Linked DNA regions of Xenopus tropicalis. The protein of the gene in region 1 interacts with the protein of each later gene in a biochemical or structural test. Links are inferred from orthologs where the notes say so. Each region holds a gene or a part of one and is shown on either strand. Other genes may lie near its edges. The genes, in order: map3k2 and smyd3.

Region 1 (4,554 bases):
GTAGCTGATTTATATACCTGACAAGACGTTTGTACAAGGACTTAGATGATAAAAAAATCAGCGTTATTATGTTTTCAGGCATTTGTCAGAAAGAGAGAGTTCTGAGGACTTTGATCCCCATATTGTTCTGTACCAACCGCTGCTTTGTTTTTCTTGACCTGCTGAGAGAGATTGTCATGTTCTCACAAATATGTATGTACAGTATGTATTTATACCTGCCAGAGTTAAAGGGGGTTCTGTGCCTTTATATGGGGGGCACAGAACCCCTCAGTGACTGCTAATAGCCTTATCATTTACAGTAGGGGGTACATTATCCCTTATAATACATGAGTGATACTCAGAGTTCCCTGTATAACTCAGCCTGCAGCCTTGTGCCTTTATATGGGCACAGAACCCCTCAGTGACTGCTAATATCCTTATCATTTACAGTAGGGGGTACATTATCCCTTATAATACATGAGTGATACTCAGAGTTCCCTGTATAACTCAGCCTGCAGCCTTGTGCCTTTATATGGGGGGCACAGAACCCCTCAGTGACTGCTAATATCCTTATCATTTACAGTAGGGGGTACATTATCCTTATAATACATGAGTGATACTCAGAGTTCCCTGTATAACTCAGCCTGCAGCCTTGTGCCTTTATATGGGGGGCACAGAACCCCTCAGTGACTGCTAATATCCTTATCATTTACAGTAGGGGGTACATTATCCCTTATAATACATGAGTGATACTCAGAGTTCCCTGTATAACTCAGCCTGCAGCCTTGTGCCTTTATATGGGGGGCACAGAACCCCTCAGTGACTGCTAATATCCTTATCATTTACAGTAGGGGGGTACATTATCCCTTATAATACATGAGTGATACTCAGAGTTCCCTGTATAACTCAGCCTGCAGCCTTGTGCCTTTATATGGGCACAGAACCCCTCAGTGACTGCTAATAGCCTTATCATTTACAGTAGGGGGTACATTATCCCTTATAATACATGAGTGATACTCAGAGTTCCCTGTATAACTCAGCCTGCAGCCTTGTGCCTTTATATGGGGGGCACAGAACCCCTCAGTGACTGCTAATATCCTTATCATTTACAGTAGGGGGTACATTATCCTTATAATACATGAGTGATACTCAGAGTTCCCTGTATAACTCAGCCTGCAGCCTTGTGCCTTTATATGGGGGGCACAGAACCCCTCAGTGACTGCTAATATCCTTATCATTTACAGTAGGGGGTACATTATCCCTTATAATACATGAGTGATACTCAGAGTTCCCTGTATAACTCAGCCTGCAGCCTTGTGCCTTTATATGGGGGGCACAGAACCCCTTAATGTTGTCTATTAACAACTTGACATTATTTCCTTGAATAAAACCTTTATGAGACAAACTCCATGGAATGGAAGAGAAGGGCCACCCCGGTCTAACGCGGTATAAGGCGACACTGATATACTACAAGTGATACATTATCAACCGAATGTGTTTTTTTATTCCACATTTCTATGAAAATTAAACACGAGCAAAACCCCCTCACAAGTAGGGAACTCTATCACTTTAAATCTGAACGCTCAGCTTCCGCATCTCCGTGAGCTTCACAACTACAACTCCCAGAATTCCGTCGTTGAGAGTTTACGCAAGCCAATCGAATTGCGCATGTGCTTGAGCCATCCCCTGTTGAAATGACAGACAAGGCTGTGGGCCAATAAGCTGAAAGTTTTGTCTCTAGGCGATGACAGCCGTGCTCCTCCCCTTTATTGACGCCTCCGTGCTTGTCTCTGCTGGCGCTAGCCCCTCCCCCCTGTGACGTGCGCGTACTCGGTCCCGTAGTCCCAGGTTCACACGCTCGGTTTGGTTCCGTCGCTCCTTATTAATTAACCCTTACGCCGCGGCTGCCTTTTCGTAAGCGGAGCAGTTACGGGGCCTGTGCAAGTTCCGAGGGTTCCGGGATGGCCGCCATTTTGTGAAGAGCGGGCCCAGTTCGGAATAACACTGCCGCCGCTGCCCCCGGGCCTGTGACCCCCCGCCCCCCCCGGGAGGAACAGGCTGGGGGCGGGGGATTGCTGGAGTCGGAGCTGCAAGGGCTTCTGGGAAGTACAACCGGGCCCCCGGCTCAGCTGACAGGTATAAGGGCCACACATTCATTTTAAAGGGGGCTGCAGGCTTTGGGGGGGTTGTGTTGGGGGGCTATTAGTGTTTATGGAACTCTGAGGGGGGGGGAATTCATTGGGGGCTGTTATGGGGGAGGGACAACTGTAAAGGGGGGGTGCTATGGGCATTACAGGGGGGCTATATGATGTATTGGGGCTGGGGAGCAATGTCTGAGGGTGTCATGGGGGGGCAAGTGTGGCTAATATTTGTGTTTGCCATGGGAATCAGCTGCTATCTGCTACATTGTGTCAGCAGTCACAGCCAGCAGTGCAGCAGTCAGAAGCAATTGCCTTGGCAAGTACATTAAACCCACAGAGAATGAGGGAAGAAAGTGTATGGTGATTGGAATGGTATTTTCTCTTATTATACAGAATAGGGGAGCTACTTACATATAATATAAACCCAATAGGGCTGTTCTGCCCCCAATAAGGGGTAATTATATCTTAGTTGGGATCAAGTACAGGTACTGTTTTATTATTACAGAGAAAAGGGAATCATTTAACCATGAAATAAACCCAATAGGGCTGTTCTGCCCCCAATAAGGGGTAATTATATCTTAGTTGGGATCAAGTACAGGTACTGTTTTATTATTACAGAGAAAAGGGAATCATTTAACCATTAAATAAACCCAATAGGGCTGTTCTGCCCCAATAAGGGGTAATTATATCTTAGTTGGGATCAAGTACAGGTACTGTTTTATTATTACAGAGAAAAGGGAATCATTTAACCATTAAATAAACCCAATAGGGCTGTTCTGCCCCAATAAGGGGTAATTATATCTTAGTTGGGATCAAGTACAGGTACTGTTTTATTATTACAGAGAAAAGGGAATCATTTAACCATTAAATAAACCCAATAGGGCTGTTCTGCCCCAATAAGGGTAATTATATCTTAGTTGGGATCAAGTACAGGTACTGTTTTATTATTACTGAGAAAAGGGAATCATTTAACCATTAAATAAACCCAATAGGGCTGTTCTGCCCCCAATAAGGGGTAATTATATCTTAGTTGGGATCAAGTACAGGTACTGTTTTATTATTACAGAGAAAAGGGAATCATTTAACCATGAAATAAACCCAATAGGGCTGTTCTGCCCCCAATAAGGGGAAATTATATCTTATTTGGGATCAAGTACAGGTACTGTTTTATTATTACAGAGAAAAGGGAATCATTTTTAAAAATTAGAATTATTTGCTTATAATGGAGTCTATAGGAGATGACACTTCCGTAATTCTGAGCTTTCTGGATAACGGGTTTCCAGATAATGGCTCCCATACCTGTACTAAGGCTTTATAGTCGCTGTTGCAGAGATACATTGACCGGAAGATCTCATAAACTCATCAGATTTAGTAGCGCCCGACAGGATCTGGTGTTGTTGCACGCAGTGTAGCTCAGCCCTAAGGGGATCAGTCAGGGACGGGGGAGATTCCTGGGAGCTGATCCAGCAAGTCATGCAATCCAGTGGTGTAAATTAGCTGCTTGTTTCTGGTGGGGGGGCTAGAAGCATTGACGGATAGGGGCTGTGCAGTAAGTCACTAAACTTGCTCTCATTTTTAGGCAACTAGATTTTCCAGCTTCTCCAGTTGCAGCCTGTACAGGTCCAAACAGATATGGTTTGGGAAGGGCAATTGTTTGGCCCCGTGCTATGGTCACTGCTCTGCAGAGGAACTAGGGATGCACCAAATACACTATTTCTGGGTCGTGCTTGCTTAAATTTGTTTTACTTTGTGTTTATGTGGCCAAAAGGCACATGATTTTAAGGATTTGGTTCAACCAGGCCATATCCGAATCCTGCATAAAAAGGCAGAATCTTGGCCGAATCCTGGATTTGGTGCATCCCTAATAGGAACACTAAGACGGCCTCTAAAATCAGCCTGGATAGGGTGCTGGTAACCACCTGTAAGTAAAGGAATACAGATATGGGATCTTGTATGCGGAAACCCATTATCCAGATGAATTCCGTTCTGAATTACGGAAAGGCCATCTCCCATTGACTCCATTATAAGCAAATAAATTCAGAATTTTAAAAGTGATTTCCTTTTCTCTGTAATAATAAAACAGTACCTGTACTTGATCCCAACTAAGATATAATTACCCCTTATTGGGGGCAGAACAGCCCTATTGGGTTTATTTCATGGTTAAATGATTCCCTTTTCTCTGTAATAATAAAACAGTACCTGTACTTGATCCCAACTAAGATATAATTACCCCTTATTGGGGCAGAACAGCCCTATTGGGTTTATTTCATGGTTAAATGATTCCCTTTTCTCTGTAATAATAAAACAGTACCTGTACTTGATCCCAACTAAGATATAATTACCCCTTATTGGGGGCAGAACAGCCCTATTGGGTTTATTTCATGGTTAAATGATTCCCTTTTCTCTGTAATAATAAAACAGTACCTGTACTTGA
Region 2 (4,303 bases), on another chromosome or scaffold:
CTTCCTCATTTTATTCCTGGTGCTCAGAGGAATCGGTCTATTCGATTCTGCGGTATTCTTTATTTGCATCTCCTTCACCTCCTGGTTAGAAGAGATCGCTTGATTCAGTGCTGCAGCAATCCTTTGCTCATCGCATCTCCTTCACTTTGTGGTCCCTCGCTGATTTGAGGTCTGTTATTTGGGGTACCACTTGTGTGGTACTGTGATGGGTATTTATTTTATTTGAGCAGTGCATACAGCGTGGCCACAAGTCTGGGGTCTACTATTACTTTCAGCACATTCAGCATACAGATCTGGGGTCTACTATTACTACATACCTCCCAACAAAATTAAAAAGAGGATAATGTACGTGAACCCTGGATAGAGGCTCAGCCTGAGTCAAACCCTACTATATAATCCCAAACACAGGAATCAAATAGGCTCCCTAACAGCTGCAAAGCCTTGTCCAAGCCTGCCCATATTGCATCGATTGGTAATCTATTTAACTCTCTCAATGTCATGTACTATCTCTGTGGTCATAACACTATATAACTCAATGTATTGTTAACAAAATAAAAACCTTTAAAAATAAATAAATTTAAAAGCGGGACAAAAGAATATGCCGCACTGAGAGTGTCAAAATGTTTTGACCACACCCATATTACAACCCCCCCCTTTTCCATGGTTGGAATGGCAGCATCACATGTACCAAGTGCACTAGTGTTTTAAGCACTTTCTAGCCAAAAAGTGTTTGTTAGGTACACAAAAGACTTAGAGAAAAGGGCCACAGTCATATTTTTGTTATACTTTGTATAACAGCTGCTAAATATATTGGCACTATATAAACAGATTATACATCATTTCCCACAGTATATACCTTATATACCTTTCTTCCCAAGGTCTTTGCTTTTATTTCCTTTCCTTACCCCTTTGTTTTCTCTTCTTCCAGTATTTTTGTTATGTGATTTTCCTTCATTTACAAGATATGCTTTTCACTTGCATTTTTCTTTTGCTTTAACTATATTTTATGGCTCAGCCAGATCCCCACCATGTGTATGTAAATACACCAAATTGTAAGTGGGGGATAATATATAAGGCAGAGTTTGAAGAGTAAAGGGTTAAAGTGCACACAAAGTAGATAATGAAAGACTGCTTATCTCTAGCAGTACATCCCTTCATTCCTGCAGGGACTACAGCACACAGCAAAGCTCAGCCCAGCACTGGCCACACTTCCCCGTTCCAGACCAGCTGCTGCAGAAATCCAGCCCCCTTTTTCCCTAGCCATGTGAGCAAGCACAGCCAATGGGGAAATCCAGCCCCTTTCCCTAGCCATGTGAGCAAGCACAGCCAATGAGAATCTTCGAAACGCGGAGAAGCATCTGTATTTTACTTGTAAGTAACTGTAGGAATTCGGCAGTGCTGAAGAAGTCTAATCCTATCAGTACACAGAGCAGGGGGCTGCAGGTCTGGGGTCTGCTGCTACTGTTATTGCAATTACAATCAGTACATTCTGCGGGAGCCACATGTGTGGGGTTTGCTATTACTATTAGTACATATTGGGGAGCCACGGGTTTGGGGTCTGTTATTATTGCACAGAGCCGGGGTCACAGGTTGGGGGTCTGCTAATCCTATCAGTAAATAGAGTGGCGGGGCCACAGGTCTGGGATCTGCTGTTACTATTAGCACATTCAGTGGGGGCCAGGGGTTTGGGGTCTGCTGTTACTATTATTGCATAGAGCCAGAGTCACAGGTTGGGTGTCTGCTAATCCTATCAGTAAATAGAGTGGCGGGGCCACAGGTCTGGGATCTGCTGTTACTAATATTGCATAGAGCGGAGGGTGGGGTCACAGGTCTGGGGTCTATTACTATTATTACATACATTGGGGGCCACAGGTCTGGGGTCTGCTAATCCAACATAGAGCAGGGGGTCACAGGTCTGGGGTCTGCTATTACAGGCCGCACATTTAGCATACATTGGGGGAGCAACAGATCTGGGGTCTACTATTACTATTATTGCATAGAGCGGGGGGCCACGGGACTCGGGTTCTGCTGTTACTGTTAGCGCATTCAGTGGTGGTCCTCAGGTCTGGGGTTTGCTGTTACTATTATTACATACGTTAGGGGGCCACAGGCTGTTGGTCAACAGTTACTATGATTGCATAGAGCGTGGGGGTGTCTCAGGTCTGGGCTCTTCAAATCCTATCAGTATATAAAGCGGGGGGGCAACAGGTCTGGGGTCTAATAATCACAATAGTACATAGAGTGGGGGCCACAGGTCTACTATTAGCTCATTCAGTGCCACAGTTCTGGGATCGACTATTACTATTATTGCATAGAGCGGAGGGCCACAGGTCTGGGGTCTGCTATCATAATCAGTACATTACAATTATGCATTAGGGAGGGGGGCACAGGGGTCTGGGGTCTACTATTATTACATAGAGCACAGGTCTGGGGTCTGCTGTTACTATAATTGCATAAAGCGGGGGGGAGGTCACAGATCTGGGGTCTGCTATTACTATTATTACAAACTTTAGAGGTCCACAGGCCTGGGGTCAACTATTTAGTGAGGAGGTCACAGGTCTGGGGCCTGCTCTTATTATTATTACTACATACATTGGGGGGCCACAGGTATGAGGTCTGCTATAACTATTAGCACATTCAGTGGGGAGCTACAGGTCTGGGGTCTGTTATTACTATTGCATACGTTGTGGGGCCATACGTCTAGGATCTGCTAATCCAATCAGTACATAGAGCAGGAGGGCCACAGGTCTGAGGTTTGCTATTACTTTCAACACATTCAGCATACACTGCAGGGGACGACAAATATGGGGTCTACTATTACTATGAGTGGGTCTGGGGTCGACTATTATTGCATAGAGTGGGGGGTGGGGACATAGGTCTTGGCTCTGCTATTCCTTTCAGTACATAGAGAGGGGGTCTGGTCTGGGGTCTGCTATTACTATTAGCACATGCAGTGGGGAGCCACAGGTCTGGGGTCTGTTGTTATTATTATTGCATAGAGCGGTGGGGGCTCTGCTATTACTATCAGCACATTCAGTATACATTGATCTGGGGTCTACTATTATTGCATAGAGACTACAGGCTACAGCAATATTTCAGAGCGCAGAGATTGGGGAAAGGTGAGCAAAAGAGGTCTTACAGCATTTACAGAAGAGGTTTCTTGCTCTGCTGGAAAGAACTAAAGTTTTTGTCTGAACTCAGGGACACTGCGCAGGCTAGTGTACACCTCTCAATTTGCCACGCTTTCCATGCAGCTAATGACACACAAGTGCTGTTTATCTCATTTGCAGTGTGCAATAGTTGACAACATGATGTCGGGAATTCTGGAGAAGTTCCAAAGCCCAGGGAAGGGTAATGGAGTTCGGGCACTTAAGGATATGAGCCATGGATTAACGGTGATGATTGCTGAGCCCTACGTATATACTGTGTGCCGGATAAAGACTGCGTGCGATCACTGTCTTCACAGGTACAATAGCTTTCACTGATTTTCTAAGCCTCTGCCTATTTAGCAGCATCACTCGATTCGCAGAAAGAAGTGCCCAATCAGAAAAACCAAGAATTGCAATAACCTAGTGGCAGTGTCGCAGATTGTGCTTTCTTATATTGACACATGATTCTTCCAGCCAATCTGCATGTCTTGTGAATGACACTGGTATGACGGGGTAAAACACTTCTATGCATCAACTGCTGCTTTTTGATAGGGCTGCTTTTATCATTGTATAATGGTAACTTGCTAATTGTAGTGATAGTGTGAAGAATGAAAGACAGGGAAGGGTGGTACTGTTTGTAGCATGGGACACTGTCACCCTTAGTAGCTGATTTTTCCTAAGTGCTGCATACATAATGGAAGCTGTATCAGTTCCCTAGAGTTTAAAAATGATAACCTAGACACTTGCATTATTATTATTGCCTTTAAAGGAACAATTCAGTCTAATAAAGAACCTGGGTAAAATAGATAGATTGCACAATTTACAAAATATTTCTTATATAATTAGTTGGGCAAAAATGTAATCTATAAAGGCTGAAGTGAAAGGATGTCTAACATAACAGGCAGAACACTACTTCCTCCTTTAAGCTGTTTGGAGTCAGTAACCAATTAGTCACTTGAGGGGGAGGGGGCATATGGGACATAACTGTTCAGTTAGTTTGCTTTTAAATATGACCTGTGTGCTCACAAACTAACAGTTATGTCCAGTGTGGTCGCTGACTAACTAAACGGTTAGAGAGCTGAAAGCAAGTAGAGTTCTGGCTATTATGTTAGACATCTGCTCACTCCAGCCTTTATAGATTACCCAGTTTAATG

What was found.
Region 2: the proteins of map3k2 (region 1) and smyd3 are reported together in a solved structure, tested with the Homo sapiens proteins (2 studies listed by BioGRID and IntAct, with this or other methods). The link is inferred for Xenopus tropicalis from reciprocal best matches to the Homo sapiens genes MAP3K2 and SMYD3.

Annotation. Positions count from the first base shown.
Region 1 is NC_030685.2:86,477,086-86,481,639, forward strand, and holds the start of map3k2 (mitogen-activated protein kinase kinase kinase 2), read left to right. Parts: upstream 1-1,749; 5' UTR 1,750-2,115; intron 2,116-4,554. UniProt on the Homo sapiens protein: Component of a protein kinase signal transduction cascade. Regulates the JNK and ERK5 pathways by phosphorylating and activating MAP2K5 and MAP2K7. Plays a role in caveolae kiss-and-run dynamics.
Region 2 is NC_030681.2:51,485,689-51,489,991, forward strand, and holds the start of smyd3 (histone-lysine N-methyltransferase SMYD3), read left to right. Parts: upstream 1-1,186; 5' UTR 1,187-1,329; coding exon 1,330-1,371; intron 1,372-1,385; exon of another isoform or gene 1,386-1,443; intron 1,444-3,290; coding exon 3,291-3,466; intron 3,467-4,303. UniProt on the Homo sapiens protein: Histone methyltransferase. Specifically methylates 'Lys-4' of histone H3, inducing di- and tri-methylation, but not monomethylation. Also methylates 'Lys-5' of histone H4.